Arabidopsis thaliana: one gene and its partners. The protein of the gene in region 1 interacts with the protein of each later gene in a pairwise test. Each region holds a gene or a part of one and is shown in the gene's direction. Other genes may lie near its edges.

Region 1 (4,444 bases):
AGATATTTTCAGTCAAATTAATTTTTTTATAAAATATGGCCTTTTTAAAAAATAATTCAGAAAAAATCATGGAATCATGGGCTACTGCCCTTTTGCCCATCCTATTTGGGCCGAGCTTGTTATCATCAACCTCGACCCAATGGGTGAGTCGTAAGGTGTGAGGGTCAAGACTTTTTTTATTTTTGAAGTAAAATTGATATATAAAAAACCCATATTTTATAAAACAACTTATAATTAGCCCAAAATTATAGTTCAAAACCCCATTTTTTGTTTTAAAAATAATAAGCCTGATTTTGTTTTTTAAATAAAGCTTTTTATAGCAAAAACAAATTGGGTAACCTTACATCTCTAATTTTATTTGGGATGGGGCTGATTATCATCACAAGGACTATGCATAAATGTTTTCAATAACTCCATATCAATAAAAAATAATCTGGTTTGATTGCTTTTATCCAGCTAACTAAATTTCACACCAAATGTTGAACTCATCATTGTTTTTTCTAGATTTTGCATGATTCGTTTGTTCAAGTAATCAGGTTCGACTTTCGATTAAAGCCTAAAAATCTCATGAAACAAAGGTTTTAGGCAAAGAACTCTCTATATAAATATATAGGCGCATCATTTCATAAAAAGTTTATTTCCGAAAAGTTGATGGATATCCGCTTTAGGTGACCAGTTCGATCCTAATTTCCTAACTTTTGTAATTTCTTTTTAACAGGTGACGGCAAATTATGTTTGGACCGGCCCTAAAAGTAGTAATTATTTCCTTTAAAAATAATATCTAAGGTTAAGAGAAACATATTCTTTACATAAACAATATCTTTGGATGTTTAAATTTTAAGCTTGATATTTTAACGAACTTTGGCGCGAAAACCATCTATTCAAATATCTCTTTCCACCACTTGTGTTTTCATTGATTTGGAATTGTTATCTGCATTGAGATATCTTTGAATGATGAAACATGTTCCTTTGCTACCTTTAAATTAATGCTTCAGATTAGATCGGTCTCATGCACAAGACAAATTGACATACATATTTGCATCTTTGAAATGCTGACAATATTTGCAATCTCCTAAGAATGATAACACAAAGAAGCAGGCCAAGCATTGGATTTTAAGTACACAACTATAGCTTTTTCACTCGAAGCCAAAGTCACCTTATCTATGCGGAAACTCCACATACTTTCCATTGCGCATTAGAAAATTCTCAGTTTGGTATCTTCCCACTAATTACCACTCCAAGGCACCACTTATAGTTTTCTTCTTTGACTAATCAGATCTTGGGCACAAAACCATTGACGACATTCCTCATATGCTAGCTTTCACATACTTCCCTAAATTGGTTAGTATAAAATCCACCTTATCTAAAGCTATAGTTGACTAATAGCTTTCACCTTATCTAAATTTTATAAGTTTTAAAATTTATAAAATCCAAAAAGTATTGGTTAACAAAAATTTATAATGAATAGAAAGTGAGGTTTTGTATTTTGGGATTTCACATATATTAGTAAATATTGTATAACACAAAACAAAATATTAATAAAAAATAAATTTTATTTTTGAGAAAATAGTTGGGCTGATTTCGTAGCCCACTTAATCAGCCTTTAAATATGGAAACCCTAGCCTAGAAAGTGAACAAGAAAAACGTAAAGATCAAAATGGAAGAGAACAACGGCAACAACAACCACTACCTGCCGCAACCATCGTCTTCCCAACTGCCGCCGCCACCATTGTATTATCAATCAATGCCGTTGCCGTCATATTCACTGCCGCTGCCGTACTCACCGCAGATGCGGAATTATTGGATTGCGCAGATGGGAAACGCAACTGATGTTAAGCATCATGCGTTTCCACTAACCAGGATAAAGAAAATCATGAAGTCCAACCCGGAAGTGAACATGGTCACTGCAGAGGCTCCGGTCCTTATATCGAAGGCCTGTGAGATGCTCATTCTTGATCTCACAATGCGATCGTGGCTTCATACCGTGGAGGGCGGTCGCCAAACTCTCAAGAGATCCGATACGCTCACGAGATCCGATATCTCCGCCGCAACGACTCGTAGTTTCAAATTTACCTTCCTTGGCGACGTTGTCCCAAGAGACCCTTCCGTCGTTACCGATGATCCCGTGCTACATCCGGACGGTGAAGTACTTCCTCCGGGAACGGTGATAGGATATCCGGTGTTTGATTGTAATGGTGTGTACGCGTCACCGCCACAGATGCAGGAGTGGCCGGCGGTGCCTGGTGACGGAGAGGAGGCAGCTGGGGAAATTGGAGGAAGCAGCGGCGGTAATTGAAAAGTGTTGATTGGGTTTTAGGGTTGTAATGCTTTTGTGAGAATTTGTATCTCTATCGAGTCATGTTTGTTGTTGTTGTTGTTATTATGTTTTGCTTTCGTTAATGTCATGTGTTCTGTTGTTGTTGGTGTTATGTGTAGTCTTCCATGTGAAATATCACATAGAAGACTAAACATAACATCAACAACACCAAAACACATGGCATTAACGAAAGCAAATGGAAGACAATGGAATTTTAGTTAACTCTTATTTTCTTCTTTGCTTTAGATTAGTTTATGCCAAAGAATCACCAAAATATTCGCAGTTCATTACGAAAAAACACAATGAACTAGGCATAAATGTCAATTACCATAAAAAACATATACTACTAGCTCCATCTTCTAGTTATCCTTTATGAAAGTAGAAAATCCCCATGGCTCATGGTATTAATTTTGTATACGTTGTGAATATGTAGGCATCATGATCTTAGGATCTAGTAAGAGATCTTTTTGAATCCCGAATCTATGTTCGTAAATTTTCCAGCATTTTGATTTTAAAATGGATTTTCGCGTGAAAGTTATACTCCGGTTTTATTATGCAACGAAATTTTACTTGCAAACCGCTGATATATTATTCCAGTTTTCTCAATTTGGCATGAGTTGTTTCTCACATAGTATATTTCGTTTTCAAGATATGAACATCTAATGTGTAAAAGATCTATTGAAAATATAGTTGTGGAACACCTTGAAAATTGTTGTGGATAACAAGTGTTCGTAAAACAAACATTGTTCGTAACGACCAATTAGGAGCCACATAATAAAACCAAATATTTTCACTTCGTAATCATTAGATAAAAAAAAATCTTTGAATATTTACTTTTTTTTTAAGCAATAAATCTTTCTTCTTATGAAAAGATAGAAAACAATCTAGACAATTTAATTTTTAGAAGCAATAAATCCTTCTGTTTATGAAAAGGGTCCTCACTCTTATATATATACTTGGTTTCATTTTCTTTTTACTTTAAATGGCTACATTAAAGAGTAGCCAGAAAACATAAATAAAAACTCCAAAACACTACTTTCTCGGTTTTATATTATAAGTTGTTTTAGCCAAATTATTTTGATTCTTAACATAAGATGTTTTAGACAAATAATTCAAATTTCTATGCAAGCGTAGAATTTATATACTTTTATGACTATATATATATTATGCAGTAACGAATTTCATTGGCCAAACTCACTTTAATTAACTAAATATTAAATTATGTTTTTAATTTAGAAAAAATATATAAAAAGATAAATTAATTATTTAAACTTTGTGTTTAAACATCATATTTTTTTAAACAATGGGAGTACCATAGTTACCGTTAATTTAGAGAGAAAAAGTTCTTATTTAAAACTTCAAATGTATTCGTTTTATGAGTTTCTAAAAAAACCAACTAAAGATTTTGAGTATGGAGGAAACAACGGCAAAAACTGAAGTGTGGTTTGTAATTTAAGATTTCTAACCGCTTTCGTGAGAATTTGAATTACTTTTCAAGTTATGTTTTTGAATTTAAAGTGTGTAATGTTAGGACCTAAAGACTTGAATTTCCAAATATATTCAAAAAAAAAAATGTTATGATTTTTATTGTGAAAATGGAGAGTGAAGGCAAGTTGTTAGGCATAAAATATGTAGAACAAACAATATGTATTCCTTAAAAAAGGATAAACACTTTGAAGATTTGAAGAAACGAATTTTGGATGCTTCTAGATTTTCAGAATGGATAAAATTCAAAAGAATATGCAACACTCAATTCATATCTCAAAGAGAATGAGGAAAAACTGAGGTATTCTCTATGTTAAGATAAGGAGGCAATAAAGGAGGAAGAGACATAAAATCCTAGAAAAACAATATTGTTCAACAATTGAAATTTTTTCAAACAATCATTCAAGACCTACAGATACAGTATAAATTTATTCTATTGTCAGAAACATGACCATCTAGTAGTATTAGTAGATGAATATGCATATGGCGATCATTGCTTTGATGATCTGAATAAAATCACACTCTTTCTGTTAGTTTCAAATGCTGGAGACTTAAGTTTCTTTACAAATAGATAAATTATCTACTACATCGTTGAATAGAAGTTGAGGAGTAACCAAAACATTTAGTTGAGGAAGTTGTAAC
Region 2 (9,713 bases), on another chromosome or scaffold:
AGATATGATTTTATTACTCAAACTATCTTTTATGTTTTTTAGTTGCAAAATCTTAGAACATGACAGTTAGACCAAGAGCAGTTGATAAATCAAACAAAAAGGCAGGCAGATCCGTGGCTGATGCTGCCGTCACAACCTTCCCATCAGTTACACATCCCTTTTCCATCACAGCCTCACCTCCAGCCACCTTCACCATCACCTTCATCCCTTTCCCACTCGCGCATCGCTTCCCCTGCAAATCCATAAAGAGAAACACCACATGAACAAAATTAGTTAGTTACTAGATTCCACAAGCATGACTTGATATAAACATTGGGATCACCATTGTATCCTCAACATCACATTTTCTATATTCATTACAAGATTAGTGAATACTATTTCCTCCAAGTACATTTTCTGTTTTGACAGAGCTCATAACCTCCCAAAAGAAAAGACAGGTGATGATTTTACCTTAAGAACACCAGTGGCTGCAAGAAGCAATTTCCCCTGTCCAATAGCTGCAAACACCTTATCTTTCTCTGCAAAACTCTTAACCAAAGCAACAGCCTTTTCATTCATCACCAATAGCTCAGGTGATCTCCCTCCTGGAACCACTACACAGTCATAATCATCCACACATATATCATCCCACGATGCAGTCACAAAGAAGTTATGTCCACGCTTCTCTGCAGGAATCTGCCGTCCATCCTCAAGGTCATAAACCGCCGTTGCACACACTTCTCCCTTCTTCTTGTTCGGTGTCACAGCATCCACTTTACAACCTAAAGCTTGTAGTGCTCTAAACGGTACATTGATCCCATAATCTTCTACATAGTCCTAAAAACAGAGTAATGCTCAACGAGTCTGATGATCAAAACAAGATTGATATAACTAAAGATTACGCCTTTTACTCACCCCAATGAGGAAAAGCACAGAAGCTTGCTTCTTCTCCAAGCTACAGACTTTGCCACCAAGAGATTCAAGCAAAAGCTTAATGCCGTGACCAAGCGTTGGCCAACCAACCGTACTCATGAAATTCCCGTCTTTAACGCAATCGGTGATCTCGAACATGCTCTGAATCCCAGGCTGTTGCCACCACTCACCGCCGGAGAGTTCGATCAAAGGCTTTATGCTTTCAAACGCCGTGCATTTCACACCACCGGCGAGGATTCCGGCCGCCATCAGCATAACCTGGCTATGACAGCTAGTGAAGATCAGCTTCTTGGATTCGGCGAATCGCGCCACGAGGTCAACGCATTTCTCGTCGGCGCTGAGAAGCTCCGTGAATCGGCCTCCTGGGATGATGATGACGTCGTAATTCTCCGGAGTGACGTCATCGAAGTTTGCGTTTAAAGTCAACTGGTCAACGACAAGCTCGGTGTATAGCTTTTTTAGAACAGAAAAACAAAATTAAGCGAATTATCACAAAGAAAAAGAAAGTTCGAAATTCGTTTTAGTGGGAAAATTGGAACCTCGAGGCCCAAGAAATCGTGGGCAGACATAACGCAGCGATCGCCGGCGTTGCGGTTGGGTGAAACGCAATGAACGCTAACCCCAAACGATTGGAGAACATAGAGAGGAACAATCGTTTCATAGGCTTCCATGTAGTCTCCACATAAGAGCAACGCTGATTTCTGAACCGCCGATGCCATTTTGGGTAAATGTTTGTGTGCATTGAATAAGACAATATAAGAAGAACTAATCTTATTTATACTGATTATCTATTTGTCATGTGGAACTTTTGAATCCCCCCACCAACTCACTTTCACCTACTTTTTTTGGTGGCTTCAAAGTCCAACTGGTGAAAAGTCCTTATTACAAATATATAAACTAGCTATAACTTTGAATGGTATGTAGTTTCTGCTAACTATTATATGTGGCTGAATTGGTATACTTATGAAATGGACATTGAATTGGTATACTTATGTTGAATAGTTCCATTTTGTATTATTTTACATCCATTTGGTTGGTGTAAAATAATACTTTTGGTAGATTGAATGTGATGTATACAAAACGTCGTGTATGTATTTCATTTAATGCACATGACTCGTGAGTTAACGTTCAGAGTACGGTCTCTCGGAAGCTAGAATCTAGAAAATCTAAAGAATGATATGTAGCCATGTTTACCAAAGCCTGGACTATGGAGAACTTGAGCTACATGAATCTCATGTTTGTGGAGTCAGGATTCTAGAGCATATTGGCTACAAGGAGCATGTATGCATAAGCTAAGCTTGGGCCTCGATAAACCTAGACTATGCATGGGACCCTTGGGTTGTGGAAAGCTTGGATTTAGGAGAGCTTCTGGGATGTGTATGTGTAGAAAAATCCATGTGTATTTTGTAGAAAAATCCATGTGTATTTTGTAGAAAAATTCATGTGTATGATGATCACACTAGTCACTAACACGTGTAATAGACCTCTACAAGATGATCACACTAGTCACTAAACGGTCTATTAGCTTAAAATACTCTTGTAAAATTTTGTTAATCATATGACTTTTTCTAAAATTTGTATATATCATAAGTGCTTTAATTTATTTATTTTGGCAGCAAAACAGGCCTGCTTTAATTTATTAATTTGTACTTCACTTATTATTTTATTTATTTGAAATGGTCCATTATCCATTATTTGCTAATTTTTGGTTTTCCTGATTCTTGCTTGGAAGAGCTTCAAGGCGGAGGACTAGGTCGGGGTGCTCCTTCTCCCCTCAACCATTTGTTGTCTACACGTTGCCACTTGCCACACGTGTTTTTCTCTTAGAAATCGTTATCACAATCTGTTCTTTTGAACTTTAAATCAAAAAATTTGGCTGACAAAAAAAAATTGAAACATTACAAATTGAAATATAGGATACTATTTTCATTCATAACTTTAGGCATCAGTAACACAGAAATTATGAAGGCAAACGATTATTATTTTACATGATTGATTACTAACCAACCACGACTCGTCTATAGCTTTTTCATTATGAATATAGAAATTATACAAGTCTAGCCGGATTTGGGGGTTTTGACGACGATACGGTTTCCATCAACAAAAACTCTGACCCGGTCGCACCTGAAGTCTGCGGTCACCGGACTCCCATCCAAAATCACGGCAGCATTGACGGTGGGGTTCTCTCTCTCTATCACCACGGCCGCATAGTCACCATTTGTTCCCGTAAGCTCCGGCCACGAGTTCTTCCCTGCGATCACGTTACGTTAGATCGGTCAATCATTTACGTTTGGGATTTTGGAGATCAAGAAGCTCATATTTGAGTAAATGAAAACAAAAGAACTAGAAACATCACCATGGATTGACCATATGTAACATAATTAACCTTCTAACAGACTTTAGAAAATGTAATCATATATGTTATAGCTATTGAATTACAATTTTAAATGCCTTGAATCCATATCTAATTGAACATTAGCTAACTATTTACAAACATATAAAACTTTAATTATGAACTATACAATACAAATACAAAAACTTACTAGGACATTCGGTCGACATTTTTCTTCACTCTTGTATATATTTATGTAGTCTTCTGATGTATTTGTATGCTCACCTTTAGAGATTTGAGTCCCATTTATAGAATCGGATACGTACGTTACGTCTTGGTGTCGGTGTCGTCGGTGAGGTTGCAGATTCAAAAGTCAAACTTTGACGAAACCAGCTTTTAATAGCCCCTTCGTTGACATTATTAATTTGTTTGGTAAAAGCTTTGACACTTCTGATTTTGTTTTATAAAGCTTTGAAATGTACATATTTATATCACGATGTTCAAACCTTATCGAGAACAAGATAAGGTTTCTAAGGCTAAGATAATGTCGAAATTTGAAAAACAAACGAAGGTGAAAAATATTTCTAGCGTCGACTGAATTCTGTTTGCATGCAAAAAAACGCTTCTGCCAAATTTGGCACTTAGCCGACAAAAATGACCAAACTGTCCTTCATAAAATTCATGTATAAAAATACTATAATCAATTGTTGTCACACACACAAACAACGATAATGTCAATTATGTTGAATTGTTGACGTACATAAAATTTGACAAACAACATCACAACTTAGTCATATAGTTTTTTTTTTGTTCCCGTTTGATAATCTTGTCATATAGTTAATATTCAATTTGATATGTATATACAGTTTAAAACACGTATATACAGTTCAACTTAGTCATAGTTTTTCTTTTGGTCTGTTTAAGATTGGTAAAAGCACGTATCCGGAATAAAGATTTAGGTATTAATTGGTAACAACTCTATATGCGGGTTTCGAACAAAATTACAAAATCACATATTATATGAGACCAAGTCACCATCACACTTAAATATTTGTGGTTGAGAATTAATTAGTGTTTAGTTTTGTGTATGTTTCACACTGCCCAATGTTACAAACTTGTGTGTGTCAAGAAGACGAGGCCGCCTGAAAACAAAACATGTAAGCCCATTGAAACAGACACCAAAAGACATATGGTCTATAAGCCTCTCCTTGTGCTGGAGCTGGACACAAATTCTTTAAGACCGAGGTTTTCAAACGTAGGCCCAAATAAATAGAACCAAATCCAGTTAGAAGCCCAATAAAATGTTAATTACTTATCTTTGTATTTTAATTTTTGTTCTTTAAAGTTTAGGATTTTTTACATAAGTAAAAGAATTTGTTCTTTAGGCACTTTGAATCCACATTGTCGTTGGTATTGTTATTAGAGTATCTTAATTTTCTATGATTTATTTACGTAGATAATTCATTGAAAAATTAAATGAATTTATGTTTAAATTCTCATCTAATTATTATACAATAGATTGAAAAAGTCACCCTTAGTCAAATTGTTCATATAGTTTTCTTAAATTGTCTAATTAATTACCAAATTAATCCTTGTCTGAAAACTTTTACAAAAGCTAATACAGAACAAATACAAAAAAACGTGTAATCATATCATATAAACACCAGTCGCAGCGTTTCGTAGAAAAATTCGATTTCTCTAAAGCCCTAAAACTAAAACGACTATCCCCAATTCCAAGTTCTAGGGTTTCCATCTTCCCCAATCTGTACGCCATTTTCGATTTCCTTTTTTGTTGTTTACTTTAGCTTCATCGACCATGTTTAGGTTTCAAATTGAGTGTTTGTTCTGTTTCTGTAGAGTATAAATGGCGGATACGCCTTCGAGCCCAGCTGGAGATGGCGGAGAAAGCGGCGGTTCCGTTAGGGAGCAGGATCGATACCTTCCTATAGCTAATATCAGCAGGATCATGAAGAAAGCGTTGCCTCCTAATGGTAAGATTGGAAAAGATGCTAAGGATACAGTTCAGGAATGCGTCTCTGAGTTCATCAGCTTCATCACTAGCGAGTATGCATTCCCAATTTTTCTTCTTTCAATCGAATTTGTTGGAAAATATTTTGCTCTTTGGTGAAAAAAATTGATCATTTGTTGGAACTTTGGGTTTGTGAGAGATAGTTTTCTTAAACTAGCTATGGATTGAGTTTAGCTCAGAGAGTTTTTTGAAGTTTATAGAGCAAAGATTATGTTTTTTTTTTTGTCACAATGTTAATCAACCATTGTTTGGTATGGGTTTACCTTAACCTAGTTCCTTTCCTATAGACCATTTTGCAGATTATTTCACATGCTTCTACTGTGTTATATCTTAACTCTGTCAAATAAATTGTTAGATTTTTTTCTTCATTTAACCATCTTAGGGTATAAAAGCCGTATCTTGATCATGTTTCAAAGATTCTTTTATCTTTAGGATCTGTTTGTTTTTGTTCCTTTTTGTTCATTTAAGGCAAAAGATATGTTTTTCATCATGAAGGAATTGCTTGTGTTGAATGCGTTTTAGGTCTCTGATTGATGAGTTTTATGTTTCTTATAACATCAGATGCCCCCGTTCTTTGTTAGGAAGAAATAAGTTATCATGTATGAAACTATGATTTATCTATTGGTTCAAGATAAGCTTGTCTGATGTTGCGCTTAAGTCTCTTTTGCTGGTCTTATGTTGATTCGTTGACTGTAATGGCCAATTGACTGGTATCTGTTTCTGCTAATCAGGGCCAGTGATAAGTGTCAAAAAGAGAAAAGGAAAACTGTGAATGGTGATGATTTGTTGTGGGCAATGGCAACATTAGGATTTGAGGATTACCTGGAACCTCTAAAGATATACCTAGCGAGGTACAGGGAGGTATGTTGCTTTGACTCCCTAATCATGTGTTCTGAAATCCTTAATATCCTAGTCAAGAGATTAGTAGCTGTGAGTAACATCGAAGCTTGCCATGATAGCAGTTTTACAATCCCTTCAATACGTCTTGTGTAGAATTTTTGAAGCAAGAAAGATAAATCTAGACCAACAGTCAGGATGCATATTAGTAAATTTTGAAAGACATTTATTACTCTCTCTTTTGTGCTTTTGTTGTTAACATACATAATAAAATCAAAATGTTTCTTATTAAGTTGAGACTAATTCGGTTCTTTTCATTCCCTGGGATTGGTTGCTGACACACCACCTGCTGATGCAGTTGGAGGTAAATAAACCACATACTTATTTCTACTTTATATTCCATTCCAGTGTTGCCCATTGGCTTCTTACGTTTTGTTGTGAAATTATGATAGGGTGATAATAAGGGATCAGGAAAGAGTGGAGATGGATCAAATAGAGATGCTGGTGGCGGTGTTTCTGGTGAAGAAATGCCGGTATGATTTTGACAAGTATAGATGATACCAATGCTATACAGCCTATATTGTACTTAGCTCTGACTTCATCATTTTGATTCAATCACAGAGCTGGTAAAAGAAGTTGCAAGTAGTGATTAAGAACAATCGCCAAATGATCAAGTAATTCTTCTCTCTATCACACGGCCTCATGTACACAAATGAAGAGCATAGTCTATATGCATGTAGGTTCATATCCAATCTTCACTTCGTTACAACTGATGATAGTAGGACATGCCTTGTAAACTTGCTGATCATGTTATATTTTGCTGTGTGAATGAACTATGGCTAGTTTCAAAATTGTTTGTCTAACGTGAAATTCTCTAAAACGGTGCAGGGGAAATTAGAGATCAGTGAGTTGTTTATAGTTGAGCTGATCGACAACTATTTCGGGTTTACTCTCAATTTCGGTTATGTTAGTTTGAACGTTTGGTTTATTGTTTCCGGTTTAGTTGGTTGTATTTAAAGATTTCTCTGTTAGATGTTGAGAACACTTGAATGAAGGAAAAATTTGTCCACATCCTGTTGTTATTTTCGATTCACTTTCGGAATTTCATAGCTAATTTATTCTCATTTAATACAAAATCCTTAAATTAAATTTGTACAGTACCTTTGTTTTGGGTATAGACAATTACATTTTAAGTCAGTTGATCTGTATCAAATACTACACTTACAAAATCACAAAGTAAAGGCAGCAATTAATTTTGCTTTGAATTGAAAAGCTTTGAGAGAGTAATCAAATGCTTAAATCACGAAAACTTACAAATTTCAAAATTTTGTCTCTCCATAAATTCTCTTAATAAAGGCTGTTGTTTTTCCAATTTGAAAATTCTATTTTTCAAAATCAAGAACAGGCTATGGAATTTCAAGAAGCTGGTTCATCATCAAGTAGAATCATCTTCCTCTGTTTCCTCTCCTATCTAAAATCTCTTTAGTCTTCAGAAACTGATTATACTTTGTGCAGCAGCAAGAGTAAAGATTGACTTTGTGCAGCCGATGGCACACAAAGAGAGCAAATGGAACCATCGCAAAAGCTTGGCCTGGGACACTGCTTTTTCCACCAACCCTGGTTTCTTCCTATTTCCTATAGATTGGTTTTGTGTAGAAACAAAATGTTAAATTATATGATTCCAATGATTTTACCACTTTGGTTTGTAGGAGTGTTAGATCCTGAAGAATTGTTTGGGAGCTTAAAGATTGACGAGAATGAGATTGAAGTTGAAGTAAATCATAATCACACACTTCCTTCGAAAACCGATGCTCGTCCAAGTTTTGCTTGGGACAATGCTTTTTTTACCGATCCAGGTCTCATCTTTTTACTTCAAAGTTCTTTACCCTACTTGATTAGTCAATTATTTCACACTATTCCACTATTCCTCTCATATATAACAATCAAACCTTATAATTTAGCTTTGACTCTGTATATTCAAGGCTGACATTGTCTATATTTATGCTAAGGTGTTCTTGATGCTGAGGAGTTGTGTCTTGTGAACAATGGTTTCACCAGTAACACGCAGCTTCGTAAGTCTGCTGATACGACGACAACTCAAGGAAGCAGATTTTCTGTGGCCAGCATTGAGTTTGATCTGTTCCACGACCTGAGAGCCTCTTTACGTAATTCACCGAATGTGAAGCAGACAGTAACTCAAGAGACCCATCGTAAGTTACCAGATGGTATAAAGGTAAACGGAAAACCTCAGAAACTGTTTCAATCATTTGCTTTCATCTAAATTTTACTTATTAATTGGTTTTGTTTGTCAAGAGGACTAAAGGATACAAACAGAAAGTTCAACCTTTGAGTCTCATTCCTCAACCAAAAGTGTCTTCTTCTTCTTCTTCTTCTTTTTCTTTATCATCCATCTCCAAATCTTTGACTCCTAGTCAAGCTATACGCGAGAAGAAATGTGTTGCAAGTGAACTCGGTGAGGACATGATTGATGATACATCTTATTCTTTCTTCAAAACGAGAAGAAAATCAAAACATCTTTAAAAGTTGCACATCTTTGTTTTATTTTGAAGAGAGGAATAAGGAAAAACACAAGAATCATGGTTTTGAAGAACAATCTGGATCGAAATCTAACATAAGGTCATCGTATTCAAGTTACGCAGTCAAGGACTTGACATCATCCTACTCTGGTCTGAGGTTACCACTTCCAAAGATGGGATTTTTCGACTCGGTATGCTTCCTAAGAAATTCGTTTTATTGAACCTAGCAAATATCTTGTAATGTAAGATTCCTGAGATGATGAAGAAAAAACAAACTTTTGTTACAGCAGGAGAACGGAGAGAAAGAAAACAGAGAACCAAATGCTCTTGAAGCAAACAGAAGAAGAAGACACAAATCCAAACTTGAGACTTCTTCTACACCAGAAAACCGCAGCATTCTGGGACAACGCAAAACACGAAAGTGAAACGGGCAATGATATATATGTCTTGGGTGCGTTACAAGGCATCGTTTGCATGTTGAGTTGGATAAGTCAACTGTCTTCTTTTCTTTTGGTTGTAGTAGCTGCCTTTTTTTTCCTTTGTTGCTTTAAGAAATAGCCCGAAAAAAAGAATGTTCTACATTTCGGAGCAGAAAACTAACCGAATGAGTTTTTGGTCGGATCATCGGATCGATCAGATATATTTTGAGTTACGAACTGTTATAAAAAAAGCCATAATTTTGTGTTGAGTTTGCAAAATACCTTATAACTTGTTATTTGAGATTGCACCTCCATATATATTAATTCGTAAGAGTATTTATTAAGTAAGCTTTAGTATAAATCCTTTTTTCCTTTAAAGTAAGTTAATGTTCTACTAAATAATAGTAAAGTTGAAGAACCGCTCCGTTTTACACCATGCACGTGTTATCTAACAAAGAAAATATGGTACACCTAATGGCTAATGCAAAGGACAACACAATGAAACTAACTTGACTCTGTGTTATACAAACCCATAGACATCTGCATACATCCTAGTATTTGTATAAATTGGACTCAAATTCCTGAGGACAATCATAGCAAACAATCACATCATCGCAATATACATAAACAAAAGAGGAAGAAAAATG
Region 3 (8,516 bases), on another chromosome or scaffold:
CAAAGTCACAAGACACGAAGAAGAAGAGAGCCAACATTGAATGAAACGATTCCGAAACCCAAGTTAAAGCTGCCGTTTTTCTTTCTTTATTAGAAACCATAATGAAACCAGCTTTAAAAGCTAGGGAAGACAGAAACTGACCCAATTCATAAGAAAACAACAAAAACCCAGGGAAGGCACGCCAATTCATGAAAAATACATGATTCGTATGGCTACGAAAACAAAGAAAGGAGTAATTGTTGAACATAAGAGCCGAGGCTAGTAGTAGTATGCATACAAGACAAGACATAGTCACATAGGAAGACTTTGGCAACAAACCTCCACAGAAGAAGAAGAAAGAAGAAGTCGGAACATTCAACGTGGAGCAATAAAATCAAAAAGCAGAGCCAATCTATGTATTGAATCTAGATGTCAACTTCGCGTGTGAAGGAAGAGGTAACGATACGAACAACAAGAAGAAGAAGAAGAAACGCCGAGACCGATAGCGCAAAACAAATTACAACTTATAAAGCAATATTATATAAAAAGAAAGAAAGAAAAAAGAAAGACAAGTCGCGTTAAAAGACGGAGACGAAGAGGAGGAAGAAGAGGAAGACGTGGTCGAAAGGAAAGAGCTTTCAGATTTACCTCTGCTCTCGTAAAACTCACACAGCTTTAGCATCAACACATCCAAATTCTTTCTCCTCTCTCTGTCGCAGACTTTCTCAACAAAGAGCGACCCCAAAAATAAAAAATAAAAATGAGAATCACAACATATATATATATATATGTATGTAAATGTGTGTGTTTTGCTGCATATGAATACGATGGATCTTACTTACGCTTTTTTTTGTTTTTTGGGGGTTAATAAATTCCTTAAAAGAAATGAAAAATGTAATAAGAGCGTGAGAACACGCGTTCTTCTCTACTAGAGAGAATGAGATAGATAGATTAGATGGGCCTCTCTGATAAATGGAAAATCCCTGAATTAACCTTGTCTTTACAACTGTCTCTTCGTCTTCCTTTACCCTGTTTCCGTCATTTTACTATGTTTTCGCTTTCGTGGCAACTGAAACTTTTTTTTTAATTAATTAATTAATACTTCTTCTTCACTTAGCCTCCGTACGTGTTTAATTACTTCCTATTTATACTTTCTCTTACTAATTTTTATCTTCTTTTTCATGTTAATTTTTAGAATACTTGAGAATTTTATTTAACTATTCTAACTCTAAAAACTTTTTGTCAAATTTTGACTCGCAATTTAAACCAATGCATGTTGCGTTGACCACCCAAGAATGAACTTTTATCTCTAAAACTGGTTTAGATAATTACTGTTTCTTTTATTTTTCTTCTATTATTTAAGGTGTCATGATATATATAAATAACACAAGTGTCTAAAATAAGAAAAAGTAAAAAAATAAAGACGACGGTCTAACAACTCCGTACAAGCCAAATAATCTTCTTTATATAGTTGTTTGTTTGTTTGGGTACCTAGAATAAAATAATTGAACTTCAAAGGCTTATTTTCATTTCAAGCCCAAAATTGAGGCTAAGCGAATTACCACCCTCGAAGTCAAATAATGACCCAATGCTGCCTCTCATCATTCGCGTCATATACACAACACAGCCCAAACTTTTTTTTTAATTAATTAATTAATACTTCTTCACTTAGCCCAAATAATGACCCAATTGTTTCACAAAAAGCATCACAATGCTCCTACTTTTTTATTTTCCTGTCCAAGCATATTGTGCTACTTAGGGATAATGAACCGTAGTGGAGACCGAGGGAAACAGGCCATGGCGATCAACTGGCCCATATGCGAAAGCCCAGTGATCAAACTCCAAATACATTCCCGGGTCTGGGTCAAGTCAACATTTTTCACAAGTAACTATAAACAATCTCGCCAGTTGAAATGTGTATATATAGTTTGGATTCTTGGCGAATAACGAGAGAAAACTTATAACAACAAAAAGAAAAGAAAAGAAAAAAGACAAGACTAATTAAAGACAGACTAACAATTTGTATTAAACATACTGAAACAATGTTTAATTCAGCATGGACCACGCACAAAGCTACTCGCACGCTTAATAGATTCACTATACTCGATCTTTACAAGTGGGCAATAAAAATGCCATCAAATATATATATATATATATATATATATATATATATATATATATATATATATATTGCTTATGCTGATCTTAGTTAATTAGATTACTATAATTGCATGACTATATATACCAGCTTTTTTATTCGACGATATGAATAAATATATGCGTTTGCGATTTAATTCAATTTAATTAAATTTATTTTATTAGACATTGGAGAATCGAAAATATATTCCTTAATAACAACTTTAAAAAATCACTAGTCGTTTCCTTTTCTATCAAGCCATACTTGAGAGGACATTTCACAAAGGTGTTATTTTATCGACCAACTTTAGGATTTAATATCTTAAATTTTGTACTATATAGATTTGTATATTCACGTTCTCATGGTTTCAACAACTAATTAATGCTTTATATGTTTTCTCCCTGAAATTCCAGCAAATACACATATTATATACACACAGTTTTTCATTAGTAGTAATTCTTATCTAAGTAACTAAGTAAGGCGCATCATTAGTTTTTCTACTAAACATACTTTTGGTGTAGGATTCGAAAAATAAACTTCCATATGCAACCATATGACCTAGCTAGTTTCATTATTACAACCTTAAACCGTTTGAAACCATTTATGACGAGTCAATTTCATCTTTTGATTAGGAGGTAGAGAACCAAGTTAATGAGCAAGTAATACTAATAATTACTGTTTATAATATAGAAATGCTATGAACGTCATCATGCATCGTTCAATAATTAATTAATATCTAAAGGCGTTCAACATTTGTTTATCCGTTTCAAGGTGGTCCGATCCACCATCGGTCGACACTTGTCCTCACTTTGTTAATGATTTTACATATATGTATATGTAGCTGTAATATTTAACTAATGACTTAGGTTTTTCGGGAAAACAAATAACATAAAATAATAGCCAACATATCATACTTCTAGAACACCATGCTCTCCAAAATCTTGTAAAATCCTCTATGTAATTTATAAATCTATCTTTACATTACTTCTTTAAATAATAAATGGGAATGTTTTGCTAAACAGCTCATATTATTCTCATCCATAGTAAGGCGACAAAGCTTGTAAATGTTTTCGTCTCAATATAATGCAGAATTTACATAATGCTGTATAGCCAATCAAAATAAATTAAAGTTTAAAATATAAATAGCTAGTTAACTAACTAAATCACTGTTTTGCGGATATAAACTAAATTTCGTCTAATAATTAAATACTGGTAAAAAGTAAGTAAAAACATAAAATCACATATAAGAGGAAATATATATATATATATATATATATATATTATTAATCCAACTAGTTTTGATTTGAAAGTTCATAGAATTTAAATGGTAGTTTGATTAAAGTAGGTTATATCATCGAGATTGAGTTCTAGATGGATAAGAAAAACCTAATGTGTTGACAAAATATATATATCAAAAGTGTGGTGAAACAAAAAATTATGTATTTCCTCAGTTCGAAAATATAAAATATTTTAGTTAAAAAACGATTTTTTTTTTAAAACAACATTATTAATAAGTAGTTGAAAATATAATTCAACCAAATATTATTTATAGCCTCTTCAATTTTGGCAAGCAGACTACTAATTATAGACCACAAGACGTGCTTTTATATGGTCCACGAGTTCGATATTATCGTTTATTAAAGTGACTAGCTCTTAAGGAGGAATGTGGAATAATTGAATAATTTTTGGTTGAGGAGAGTTTCCAGACTAACTGGAGTGTGGAGTCAATCCACAGATAGACGGTATTGACTTAAGCAGGAGGACCAAAACTTCCTTTTTAGGGTAACATCAAGTACGTCATCAACCCCAAACTATTTTCGCCTTCACGTACGTTGAGGATATCATATCATATTCATTCCCAAAGGCGAGATAATTCACTACTAAAGGAATGATATATGTGTTATATATTCTTAACACATTTCAACATTATTTTGTTTGCAACACATCTTATTCTATGATTACATTTTAATTGTTTTAACTCAACCAAAAGGGTTTAGGAGAAAATAATTAGAAGAAAATTGAGAGAGAGAGAAATTAGCTAGACCTGCCACATTGTCTCCCCTGTGACCTAGACCACTCTCATTGGTTTGTATGACACGTCACCACCATTCTCTGACCAGACAAACATAGATAGATACTCCTTAATTAGCTCTCTTGCCTTTCTACTTATATATAAAGCTAATTTAACTACACAAATCTCTCTGTCAAAACGAATATTTTTTTAGATGTATACATAATAAACACATTTATGTTAAAACCTCTCCTTTTTCTGTGTGCCATATAGTTTGGCAAATTACATATCTTCGTTCTATATCATCATTCGTTGTTGTGAATCATACTGAAACGAACCCCTCACCAAACAAGATTTATAGATCCTCTGCTTTAATTATAAGATTCTGATGGCGGGGAATTATCATTCGTTCCAAAATCCAATCCCTCGATACCAGAATTACAACTTCGGGAGCAGCTCATCTAATCATCAACATGAACATGATGGGTTAGTGGTGGTGGTGGAGGATCAACAGCAAGAAGAAAGCATGATGGTAAAAGAACAAGACAGGCTACTTCCGATAGCAAACGTAGGAAGGATCATGAAGAACATCCTCCCAGCAAACGCAAAGGTCTCTAAAGAAGCCAAAGAGACTATGCAAGAATGTGTGTCCGAGTTCATTAGCTTCGTCACGGGAGAAGCATCCGATAAATGCCACAAGGAGAAGCGAAAGACCGTTAATGGAGACGATATCTGTTGGGCTATGGCTAATCTAGGGTTTGATGATTACGCCGCCCAGCTCAAGAAGTACTTACATCGTTACCGAGTTCTCGAAGGTGAGAAACCTAATCATCACGGCAAAGGAGGACCTAAATCCTCGCCAGATAATTAAAATTCTTCCATCGCTTTTTGATTTTCCTTGATTAATCTCCATGTCATCATCTTCCTCTTTAGGACCAGCTATCTTTTTCTATCTTCTCATATATTGTTCTACATATATAAATAAATTTTATGTATATGATGATATAACATGTATGTGGTGTGAGGTACTGAACAAATCTGTGTTAATTCTTCCAGCTGATTTTGTTATTTTCTATATTTTTATTTATTTACATATATTGGAGTGGAGATCGATCGATGTGTATATTATGAACCATTTTCGGGATTTTCTTTTGGTTGCTTCATTAATGCTTTTTAAACAATTTATTCAGATTTAATTAATTTTCGACTGGTATAATTAAATAAAATTAAATCGAGCATCATACAACAACACAAGTCCTGCCACAACCAACCAAACCGGTTTTTAACTGTTTACCATCTAACTTTTAAAACCGTCAATCATGAAGATGAACTAATATATCATCAACTTTGTAGATTAATTTCGACAGTGAGGATATATACTACCATGTCCCTTTCCTCTGATCTAGACTACTTAACCCTCTATATATAAGAAATCAACTTTGCAATTTCGTAGTTTGTGGAATTCTTATTCAGTTAAATCAATTGATTTCTTTCGACAAAAAGCGAAACTTAGTCGACTTTCAGTATTTAGATATATTTTTAGATTATGGCATTTGCATATAGATTATTCGCATTCATTTATCCACACTAAAATGCTAGCTATTCCGTACACATCATATAGAAAAATAAAATTTACTACTTCGATATTGTTTTCTTTAAAGCCTAATTGATATTTAGACCTTATGTCGATATAGATTAATTCTATTTTCGACGTGATTCACTTTCTAAACAGTATATAGTACTAAGAAATAAAAATGGGCTAAATTGATTAGTTAAGAGCGAGTGGTCCATAAATCCAGATCAGTTCTCACATGTTATTTACTAACACAAGATCCCTGGACCTTCCACATAAAGAAAGTTATACATGTCTGACTCACGCTAATAACGTATACTTTTTACTCCAAATTTCAATTTGACCATTATACTCTTTTTTTTTTTTTTTTGTTAATACCATTTCAGCTGTTGATATCAAGCAAATATTTTCGCCTTCTCAAAAGATGTTATGTATTGGTTGATATGTTTGACCAAATAAAAAAATGTTAAGTTGAGATAGAATCTTAAGTTTAAAAAGAGATATATCTTAATTTAAATATTGTTGTTAATGTGTTGGCCTATAATAAATCATAGAGGTGGTATATATCGACGTTGTAAAACAGGACTATGATGCATAAAAAGAAATCATGTTATTTAAGATTTAACTGGCTGTTTAGAGGGAGCCAAATATTTTGGCTAATGAGATAGAGAAAGAGAATGTGTTTTCAACGGATTCTTTTTGTTAAAGAATATAAATATATATTAATCATAATGAGGCTTTTACACACAGGTCATAATTGAATGTTAATTAGGGCTGTAATTAAGATATAAAAATAGCATATGAAAAGAACATAATGAACCAAAAGCGGCTATATATGATTCCTCCAAAGAGGAGTCAACATGAAGCTGAATTTGTATCTGGTGGTCCTTTTCATCTCCTTTGATGTTGTTTGCAGTGGATGATTCCGCACGATGGTGTTGATCTCAAGTTTTCGTGTGTGTTAGCGAGAAGCTGGTTAGTGAGGAGTTCAATAGTGTATTACTGTCTAGTGACGTCGTGTTAATCCAAATATGCAAGGTCTTGGAAGTGATTTCTGGTATAAAAAAAACCGAGAACCAAAACATGCTGAAAATCTCGGTGAATTAGTTGTGTCACTAGTGTTGATCATCAATTAACTGTGTTAAATTTTCTCTATAATATTATAAAATGTAGCAATTGTTTTCTTAGTAAGTACTACAAAAAAAGGTTTGAAGAAGAGCGACCAATCATAGGCTACATAGTAATTCTCAAAAACGACTAACTTATACCTTGAAGAAACCAAAGATTCCAATTTCACGCATATCACCGTTTCACGCAAATTCTGAAGTTATATAGATCATGTGCATCCATCAAAAAATGTATTTGATACAAAATATTCAATATAATAAAATACACTGCTCCACTCTATTAGTCTATTTTCATAAGATGTTTATAATTATTTATTTTTTATTTCATTTTCTTTGAAGTTATTTAAAAAGTGTAACTGAAATGTAATTTTTTTATTTCCCTTGCCTCAAATATATGCTGTATTTTTACTATTCTTTTATTATTAGTTAACTTTAAAAAACTAATTAATTGATGCTTTTCATGTTAAAAACATATAAATTTTAAAATATCTTGCAAATAGAAACGAATAGAGAAAAATTCACGTGTTGGTAGATTACTGGATTGTTATTAGAGAGTTGTTTGAAGTATAGTGAGCGAATTAAAAATTTACTGTGTTGCTTGCTGCACTAAAATTACGATGTCGTTTTTGAATCTAAAACATGTGAGATTATAGGAATTTTCTTTGATACAAATCTCATTTGAAGAAGGTTTTAAAATATTTTCAGTCCCCGCCGGCGTAAAAGATTCATATTCCGGCAGATCGGAGAGCGTACTCTTGCACCAGCGCCGCAAACAGAGACGGCCTCTCCAGCAAGCGAGCCGGGCTATCGAACTCTTTCGCTTTCCCTGTTCAAAATTCCATAATTCATCAACTCTGTATTTCTGTAAAACTGAAAACATGACAAGTTTGTTTCTTTTTTAAGTCTTACCAGCATCAATGACAAGGACTCGATCGCCGTCCATCACTGTAGGAATCCGGTGGGCGATGCTGATGATGGTGCACGACGCAAAGTCTTCTCTGATGATCTTCTGAATCACGGCGTCGGTTTGGGAATCAACGGATGCAGTTGCTTCGTCTAGGAAGAGAAGTCTGCTGCGTTTCAACATAACCCTGCCTAAGCATAGAAGCTGCCTCTGCCCTACGCTCCAGTTCTCCCCATTATCAACCACTGTTCCAATCAAGTATTAATACTTCATATATATAGATACAGAGATTTCTACGATATATATATAGATCAAACTCCATCGTTACAGATCAATACTCACCCAAAGAATCGAGCTTCTCAGGCTTGGTAGCTACAACATCCTTGAGTTGACACCGTTCCAGGCTCTGATAAACAGAAAAAACGAAAAACAGATGTTGTTATATGTAACAAATGGTTTTTAGCTTTAGAAGATCAAGAGGCAAAACATGTTTTATCATCACCTTCCAGATTTCTTCGTCAGAGTATTGCTCTGTCGGGTCGATGTTGCTTCTCACGGTTCCTTCAAAGAGGACAGGTTCTTGCGGAATGATTCCGAATCTTGACCTGAGATCATGTAGCCCTAGAGTGCTTATATCAATCCCGTCTATGATTATCTTCCCTCCTGATGGTTCTACAAGCCTGAACAAGACTTGGATCAATGTCGATTTCCCGCTTCCCGTCCGTCCAACCACACCAACCTTCTCTCCTCCTTTGATGTCAAGAGTGATCCCCTTGAGCACAAGT
Region 4 (8,635 bases), on another chromosome or scaffold:
TTTTGGGTTTATCATGTTTTTGAAAAAGTAGAGGGAAAAAAATTAAGACTTTTGATTTTTACGATGTTGGGTTTCACTGTAAATGAGGTTCTAATGGCGGAGTAATAACATAAGTGTGTGTTTCATTTACTGGTTTAGTGATTTTTCAAATGGTCGTTTGTCTAATCAAAAAGATATTTCTTTTAAGTTTTTGGAGATCAGACAGTTACATATGTTTATGTTGCTAGTTCTTGTCTGAGACAGTTACATATGTTTATGTAGCTAGTTCTTGTCTGAATCGTGGATCAATGCCCATATCTCTGGAAGCTTAATGTGATTTTCTTTGAGAAGTGCAACATATATCTTCTTGTATCTTGTTGAGATCACTTCAGGTTGTGTGATTTTCTCAGAAATTATTGACCTCTAGTCTTGTTACTGCAGTTTCAGTACCTTTTTTGTTTGTTTGATGTAAAATTAGCAGTTTCAGTTTTGAGTACTTTGCTCTTAATTTTGTCTCTTGGTTGATTCCTTTTCTCTGATGTAGAATTGAGTGGGCTGATCAGTAACTAAGTTCTTCTTATGCAGGTACCATATAAGGTTCAATGCTATATAACTTCAATCTATTTAGCCGTCAAAACATTTTATATCTGCTTCGTTGCTTTAAACGTTATGTTTTCTCTATGACCTATGACCTGCGTTTATACTGCTTTATAATCTTTATTAAGGCTTGATGGTTATCATTTCTGGTTGCGGATTTTATGATTCATCCTTCAACTTAGAATCTCCTGTGTTTTTTTCAGGTAACAGATAAACACGAATGTTTTCAGAAGTAGAAATGGCTCGAGACGTGGCTATATGTGCCAAACACTTGAATGGCCAATCGCCGCACCAACCGATTCTATGCAGACTACTCCAAGATCTAATACACGAGAAAGCGTGCAGGGAACACGGATTCTATCTCGGCATCACCGCTCTAAAAAGCATCGGTAACAACAAGAACAACAACATCGACAACGAAAACAATCATCAAGCAAAAATCCTCACATTCCCGGTGTCCTTCACATGCCGCACATTCTTGCCTGCAAGAGGAGATATCTTGCAAGGGACTGTAAAAAAAGTGTTGTGGAACGGAGCTTTTATCAGGTCAGGACCACTCAGATACGCATACCTCTCACTCTTGAAAATGCCACATTATCATTATGTCCACTCACCATTGTCGGAGGACGAGAAACCGCATTTTCAGAAAGACGACCTCTCAAAGATTGCTGTTGGAGTTGTTGTGCGGTTTCAGGTGTTGGCTGTGCGGTTTAAAGAGAGACCACACAAGAGAAGAAACGACTATTATGTTCTTGCAACTTTGGAAGGCAATGGTTCATTTGGTCCCATCTCTCTTACAGGGTCAGATGAGCCATACATGTAACCCAAACAAGGCACCAAAAGTTAAAAGTCTTTAGATACTTTTTTGCTTTTAGGTTAACCTCAGATTCGTTGGGGTTGTTTCGTGTTAAACTGGATCGACAAGAAATATTTGTAAACAAAGTTGACAGAACCAATTACATTCTATTAATTTCAATTGGTCAATACCGACAGAGTTACATATTGATATAATACTAATACATACAAAAGCATATAAGAAAATTAGTTGCTGAGCTATCTTCAAACTGCATCAATGGTGTGGTAACTCATTGAAAAGGATCATCTTTCATCTAAACCTCTGTGAATCAGACCACAGATTTGGATTTTTCATCACCATCGAGACATCTTCCATCTTCGAATTCATCAAAAGACGAGTCTCAGCAGGCTCTGGATACTCTTGAGTGCTCTAGTAATCGCCATCGATCAAACCCTCGAAATCTATGAGTTGATCAAAATCTAGGAATTGATCAAGATCTATCTCTTGATCTTCCAAGTTTCCTGTAGGTTTGTCGTTACTCTCAAAAATCGCCAAGATCTGATCATCGAATACAACCATCTCCGTTTCTTCTTTGAGACGATCATCATCAGGAACGCCAAAAGTTGCAGAACTTAACTGAAGATTTAGGGTTTCGTGTGAAACAAGATTCTTAATCTTGATGTCGTTGTTAATCTTGACGTCCTCTTGATGATCTCTTCGATAATTATTCACAGATTCCAATTCCTTCAGATCTCTCAACATCGTAGACATCGACTCAATCGCTTTTCTCAACTCCTCCGAATCCTCCGATTTAGCAAGACTCTCGTCTTCCACCATAACTCTAACCCTAGATTCTCTTTACGAACAAGACCCTGATCCTTGAGGAAAGCGGAAACAACAGAATCAACAGAGGAATGGCCGAAGGAGTAGAAGGAGACGTGAGAGTTGGAAGAACAAGGAGTCGTCAAGATCGCAACCTGTGAATCGGAGGAGAGAAGACATAATAGCTCCGCGGCTTTACTGTAAAGACCGGTACGACGTTTGGAGAAACAAACGGCTCGTGACTCTTTCTTCTGAATCTTCTCAATCGAAATTCTTCTCTTTAGTCCTCCCATTCTGCTTTCTTTGATTTCACAGAGATTTTGAGGGACACTACCTCTCTCTCTTTATAGATAGTGTATGTAACAAGAAACCTAGAAACAATTGTATATATAAAAATGTCGGTGGTTTTATAGGAGGGATCTAGGCCCGTATCAGGCCCATTGCAAGAGGAAATTCAAAATTTTGTCTTCTTTTGGCCCAAATCAATTTAATAAAATCTGAATTAGGGGTTTTGTTTTTTGATTTCATGATATAAACGACAAAAACCAAAAGTACATATATAACCAGAACTCAAGAGTCTTTTATAATAAAGGCAAACCGAAAAAACAGAACCGGTTATCAAGTCTCTCTCTTCCTTTTCTATCCAAATAACATCCACTTGTAATAATCTTATCGACAAACAATCGACCTATAACTACCCACGTGTCATCACGATACGATTATTATCCTCTCTGATCCAACGGACCCAAAACATCTATCTCTCTTTCTCGACCTTTTGTCTCCTCGATCTAAAGATGGCGGATTCGGACAACGATTCAGGAGGACACAAAGACGGTGGAAATGCTTCGACACGTGAGCAAGATAGGTTTCTACCGATCGCTAACGTTAGCAGGATCATGAAGAAAGCACTTCCTGCGAACGCAAAAATCTCTAAGGATGCTAAAGAAACGGTTCAAGAGTGTGTATCGGAATTCATAAGTTTCATCACCGGTGAGGCTTCTGACAAGTGTCAGAGAGAGAAGAGGAAGACAATCAACGGTGACGATCTTCTTTGGGCGATGACTACGCTAGGGTTTGAGGACTACGTGGAGCCTCTCAAGGTTTATCTGCAAAAGTATAGGGAGGTGGAAGGAGAGAAGACTACTACGGCAGGGAGACAAGGCGATAAGGAAGGTGGAGGAGGAGGCGGTGGAGCTGGAAGTGGAAGTGGAGGAGCTCCGATGTACGGTGGTGGCATGGTGACTACGATGGGACATCAATTTTCCCATCATTTTTCTTAATTGTAAAATGATAAAAGCAAATTTTCATTTTTATTAATTAATGATATATATATATATATGTTTAACTTTTAGTATAATGTTTACAGAATTTTTTTTTTAAAACTAGGTTCAACCCACTAACGTAACAAAATAAATATTAAATTTATGATTCGTAAGGTTAGGGTGTTACTTTTTTCAAAAAAAAAGAATAAAAGAAGGTTAGGGTGTTTATTCGTGAAAGATGAAAGTAACAAAAGTAAACTAGGATATCGAAGTTTATGGTTGAATTAGGAGGAAAAATCAAATGAGAGAGACATACATTTTTTTTAGAGTAAAATGTTTCCTAAAAAATTGTAGTGGGAATATAATTATAGCATCAAGCTAAAAAGAGTCATTGAAAAACTTTTTCTACTTTGATGCAGGGAACATGAGATGTAATCAAGGGCATATCTAAAACGTAACCTTTGATCTTTGATCTTTGATCTTTTTTTTTTTTTTTTTTTTTTTTGAAATTCAGGAGGTTCTGGGCCGAAGCCCGTAATTCCTCCAGGCCCGAAACCACAGCATGTAATATTAGTTTTTCTTTTAAAGTGTTGTGATGCGAAAATTTCATATTTGAGTCCAGGTTTTTAAGAGCTTGGGTTTTCCATTAGTCCATGTTATGCCACAAATATTCAAAGATTTTTTCTTACAAGCAATACTCAAATATCAAAACTAAGTTTCTATCAAAAAACTAAACAAAACATCAGCCAGGTAAAATCAGGAAAAAATAAAGAATTATCAACAAATACCATGACTACAATAACCAAACTGCTTTCCATTATTGTTTTTGTCAAGCAAATTGTATTCAACATTGAATTTCAAAACAGAGAAGATCATACGGTGTAGAATTAAAAACAAGATTGAAACGATACATTATAAATAACGACAAAGGCTTGAAAATTTATCAGATAGGAAGTTCCGACGAACCTAAATGAAAGTCTCCATGACAGACTCCATATTGAAGACTAATTTCAAAAGATTAAAGAGAAACTCATGATAATAATAGCTCGTACAGCTAGTGCTTCTTCCATCGAAGTAGAGCTTTCAAGAAATCACTCCAAAAAGGAGTTGTATAGGAAGGATCTCTCCAAAACATTCCAAAGCAATACAATAGGAGAAGCTTTTACCCTTTTTGGGTCGTGAAGGACCATGCTTTGTGCTCTGTTCTCACAACATTGAGAACTTTGTAGTAGAGCGAAGCTGGAAAAGAGTTGTGGCGTTGTGGATGCATGTGGTACTCTTATGCCAAACCTCGTAAACACACGCATGACATGCTTGAAGCAGTGCAATGGAGATGTCATTGCTTGTAGAAGTTGTTGATGACAGGCGGATGGTGCTGGAATCATTCAATAGGTAGGGTTGTAGGCAACAACTTTACCATAATTTTGTTTCAGATTTGAGCTGAAAATGAATAATTTAAGTGCAAGTGGTGAATTCCTAGATTCTCCCTCAATGCCACATTAAAGCAAGTTTGTTCAACATGACATCTCAAAAAAAATCCTATCAATAGTAGGGTTGAGGTTAAAAATAAAGAGTTATAAACTGCGAAAGCATGTTTAGGAATTCTCACCTTATGCCATACCAAAACCAACTAAAGAACTAATGGTTTAGATATTCTGATGTTATGCCAAGCATTTAGGGAGGAGAATAATTCGGAATCATTTCATCAATTATCCAAACTATCATTCATTGTAGGAGTAACTAGAATTCTTCAGTTCATTAATGGGAAATTAATAATAATTTTTAATTTATTGTGTCAAATAACTAACTTTCTGTAAAATATTAAAAAAGAAGGAAAAATGAGAGATTTTCCAAACACTTCAAAAATCACTTTTGATTTAATAAAAAATTTTCTGTCTCTTAAAATAAAAGCTCTATGTTCTCTATAAAAAAGCTTTCTCCGCCGCTGCCTAAGATTACTTGTTTCAGTGGCTTTTTTCAGCATCGGAAGCGAGGTTTCTTTACTTTCTTTCTTTAGTTTTGATTTCTTTTTGTTTTGGTATGATCTGAATCATATTTTCTTCCAATGGTTTAAGATCTAAATTCTCATATCTAGATCAATAAAGTCTAAATCCTTTCATCTACGGGATTTGCTGCTTGTTTTTTACTCCTTCATCTACAGCTTTAGTTCTGGTCGTTCCAACCATGCCAGAGGTAGATCTATTCGATTCTTCAACGCCTTAGATGCATACTTCTCACCATTGAAGATCTCGATCTCCTTCCTTTCTTTATGAGATTTTTTTCCTTTGGGTCTTCGGGTGTTGGTTTGTCTCACCGCCGTTTACGGTAAGAAGAATATTGATTTTATTTTCTTTGAATGGATCTCTAATCTCAGATCTATATTTTGTTTTAATTTGGATTTAGAATTTGTATTAGATTTTTGAGTTCTTAAGTGATAAGTTTGGGAAGTTTTGGATCAGTTTTAATATGTTTTTTTTATTCTGGAATTTTTCCTTTTTGTATATGTATTTGTCTCTAGAAAATCCGTTTTCTCGCCGGCTTAACTTCTGAACTGGTTATTTTTCTTACCCGGCATATGTATTTTACCCCTTATGATATTTTTTATAAATGAAATCTTAATTTTTACTGAAAAAAAAGAAACAGAGAGATTTTCCAAAAAGGAAAGAAAATTTTTATGCTTCTAGTGGTGAAGGGCACATTAGCATGAAGAGGATGGACTGAATTTGAAAGACCCATGAATATGCACATGCTCTTGTTCCCTACGCCTCTCATGGGTCCTGAATTTAATAACGTATTCCCACGTAACTAGGAAAGAAAAAAGAAACTTAAAACCATGAATATTTGTTTTGTAGTTTTAAAATTGGTTTTGTAATGAAGATTTTAGTTCGTTTCAAAATCTTTTTGGAAACCATTTTAGTCAAAAAATATACCAACAGTTTTCTTAGTTTTCTTAAGAAATTGTTATGTGAAATGTTTTTAGATACATCAAAAATAGTTACAAATTTCAAATATAATCTGTAAAGCCAATAAATGAGAAAATAAAGAGGAAAAGAATAATAAAGTAGGAAAAGTGGAGATAAATTATTTAACGTAAATTTACCTATCATAAATTATATATAGTATTAGCATTTTAAATTTTAAATAGCAAAAATACGAACTCTATAGATTTACTATCACAATTACATATTAAAAAATGATTTCTACTAATTAAGAGATGAAAACAAAAACACAGACTAATTTCAAAAAAAAAAAAAAAGACATATTTAAAGTTATTTTTTTCGTAAACAATTATATTTTCCTATATACTTCCAATATTTTAAATTAAAAACACATGATCATAACAATACCAAAAAAAAAAAATCAATGCATATTGTCCTCTTTTTTTTTTGTTCATGATCTGTTCTTGAACTTCTCCATTGCTCTTGGAGCTGAAAAAAAAACACGAGCATTATTGGAAAAACAGAAAAGAGCCACTTATAGAAACGAACAGAAAAGAAAACTTACCAAGTCCAATTGCTTCGGATCCTTTCATTATGCGCAAACGTTTGCATGACTCGACAAACATCCTGAAATCGGGATTTGGGTTGGTGACTAAATTTAGAAATCTATTGAAAGTGAAAGAATATGTGCCAGCTACAAATGAGGTAACATATTGATGAGTTAGTATTTATATATAAACATCTTCTCTGTCTCTGAGTTCTGTCCCATGCCAACCAAAAGATGGCTGTGCGTGTTTATAACACATGGATATTGATTATCATTTTGTGTATTTTTTTGATAAGTAATATCAATAATAATGCTTTAGAGAATATTGTTTTTTTTGTTTAGAGAATAATTTTGGTCATAATAATGAAAGCAAGAAGAATGAGGAAACTCACGGCCAGGGGACATCACCAACGAGCATCCAGTCACCATCTTTGTCCTCGTAGCTTGGAACATACTCAGAACTGTTCAACAGATCCATCACTTTACTCTCGTTCATGAAATCTATCATCCCTTGTGCTCCATAACTCCCTTAATTAATCAAAATCCCAAAACTTATCATATTAATTAGTCGTATATGGAAAAAACTGTATCGTTAAAAAGAAAAAATTGTAAGTAAACACAAAAATAATAATGATAATTCGACTTATATGTCTGAAAATGCATACCCATGGTAAAGGAGCTGAACATTTTGGCCAAGGCATCAGAGAGATCCTTGTAGCTGGTGTACATCTTGAGGTCAACCTTCCGAAGATAAGGAGCTCCATCCATGGAAACCTTCACAAAGGCGACGGTTCCTCCACCACTACTCATTGCCTCCTCTGCTTCGCCGCTCTTCTGATTAGCCATAACATTTTTCCGGTAGTTCCTCACCGGTGGCCAACCCACCACTTGTGCTCTGCATAGAATATAACAACACACACACACATTCAATAACGTTATTACTTATGCATCCTTACATCTTTCATATATATGTATTTTAAGAACTTTTATATCAACTATTAGTCTTTTTATCTCAAAAAAAAAAAAAAAAAGTCTTCCCTTTTAAGGAAGGTCTTCTTCTTAAGGAATTGTGTAAATAGAACTTACTTAGCAGGAGGCTTAGAAGGGTCTTTAAGGAAGGTCTTCTCCTTGGGAGCTCCATTAGTGTTGAGATCCACATGTCCTTGTTTGTTAGATTGAAGATTAAGTTTGAGATCAACGGTCTCGGAGAAGCCTCTCTTGTTCCCAACACCCGACTTGGCCGGACTTTCAACGGTTTCAGTGCCTCCGGGGAGGCCAAGACAAAGCTCCGTCTCCTTAAGGTTCATATCTCTTCTTGCTGTCTATATATGTCTTAAATCAGAATATGTTTTCTCTCTCTCTCGATAACTCTTGTTGGGGGTGAAGTTTGATAAGAGGGGAACAAGAATGAGGTAAGGAGATAGAGTCGATAATATAAGGGACGAAGAAAGAGACTATAGTACTATACTATAGTGGTAGAAAAAAAACGGTTTAAACCCGTGATTAGTCGTCTGACTTTTCTAATTCTTTAACTATTAAAATACAAAGGTCTATTGTGTATCTGCTGTAGTGCATGGAATCCCTACATTTTCTTGCAATGTGGGTTCTCAACACGTGGCCTTCTGCTAAACGTTGGTAGGTTGTTTTAGTAAATCTCACTCTTTCATGTCAATAACCTGAAAAGTATAGGTGA

Evidence for each region.
Region 2: the proteins of NF-YC7 (region 1) and NF-YB1 interact in binary tests that used the Arabidopsis thaliana proteins (3 or more experiments, as listed by UniProt).
Region 3: the proteins of NF-YC7 (region 1) and NF-YB5 interact in a two-hybrid assay, tested with the Arabidopsis thaliana proteins (3 studies listed by BioGRID).
Region 4: the proteins of NF-YC7 (region 1) and NF-YB3 interact in a two-hybrid assay, tested with the Arabidopsis thaliana proteins (3 studies listed by BioGRID).

What each region holds. Positions count from the first base shown.
Region 1 is NC_003076.8:20,552,972-20,557,415, reverse strand, and holds NF-YC7 (nuclear factor Y, subunit C7), read left to right. Parts: upstream 1-1,657; coding exon 1,658-2,296; downstream 2,297-4,444. UniProt on the Arabidopsis thaliana protein: Stimulates the transcription of various genes by recognizing and binding to a CCAAT motif in promoters.
Region 2 is NC_003071.7:16,233,577-16,243,289, forward strand, and holds NF-YB1 (nuclear factor Y, subunit B1), read left to right. Parts: upstream 1-4,915; 5' UTR 4,916-5,009; intron 5,010-5,101; 5' UTR 5,102-5,108; coding exon 5,109-5,308; intron 5,309-6,004; coding exon 6,005-6,138; coding exon of another isoform or gene 6,139-6,266; exon of another isoform or gene 6,267-6,403; coding exon 6,404-6,474; intron 6,475-6,562; coding exon 6,563-6,643; coding exon of another isoform or gene 6,644-6,649; exon of another isoform or gene 6,650-6,731; coding exon 6,732-6,740; 3' UTR 6,741-6,784; exon of another isoform or gene 6,785-6,998; 3' UTR 6,999-7,205; downstream 7,206-9,713. Other genes in the region: YLS5 (Class I glutamine amidotransferase-like superfamily protein), read right to left, coding at 53-232, 451-816, 895-1,365, 1,452-1,631; AT2G38870 (Serine protease inhibitor, potato inhibitor I-type family protein), read right to left, coding at 2,970-3,163, 3,456-3,474; AT2G38890 (uncharacterized protein), read left to right, coding at 7,519-7,549, 7,629-7,730, 7,820-7,966, 8,120-8,343, 8,424-8,583, 8,681-8,838, 8,935-9,072; AT2G38900 (Serine protease inhibitor, potato inhibitor I-type family protein), read left to right, coding at 9,711-9,713. UniProt on the Arabidopsis thaliana protein: Component of the NF-Y/HAP transcription factor complex. The NF-Y complex stimulates the transcription of various genes by recognizing and binding to a CCAAT motif in promoters.
Region 3 is NC_003071.7:19,579,420-19,587,935, reverse strand, and holds NF-YB5 (nuclear factor Y, subunit B5), read left to right. Parts: upstream 1-4,317; 5' UTR 4,318-4,515; coding exon 4,516-4,998; 3' UTR 4,999-5,278; downstream 5,279-8,516. Other genes in the region: ABCC4 (multidrug resistance-associated protein 4), read right to left, coding at 7,553-7,653, 7,737-7,976, 8,074-8,137, 8,234-8,516. UniProt on the Arabidopsis thaliana protein: Component of the NF-Y/HAP transcription factor complex. The NF-Y complex stimulates the transcription of various genes by recognizing and binding to a CCAAT motif in promoters.
Region 4 is NC_003075.7:8,341,675-8,350,309, forward strand, and holds NF-YB3 (nuclear factor Y, subunit B3), read left to right. Parts: upstream 1-2,674; 5' UTR 2,675-2,988; coding exon 2,989-3,474; 3' UTR 3,475-3,650; downstream 3,651-8,635. Other genes in the region: AT4G14520 (DNA-directed RNA polymerase II-like protein), read left to right, coding at 797-1,399; AT4G14530 (agamous-like MADS-box protein), read right to left, coding at 1,802-2,209; IAA14 (indole-3-acetic acid inducible 14), read right to left, coding at 6,905-7,022, 7,335-7,470, 7,608-7,837, 8,029-8,249. UniProt on the Arabidopsis thaliana protein: Component of the NF-Y/HAP transcription factor complex. The NF-Y complex stimulates the transcription of various genes by recognizing and binding to a CCAAT motif in promoters.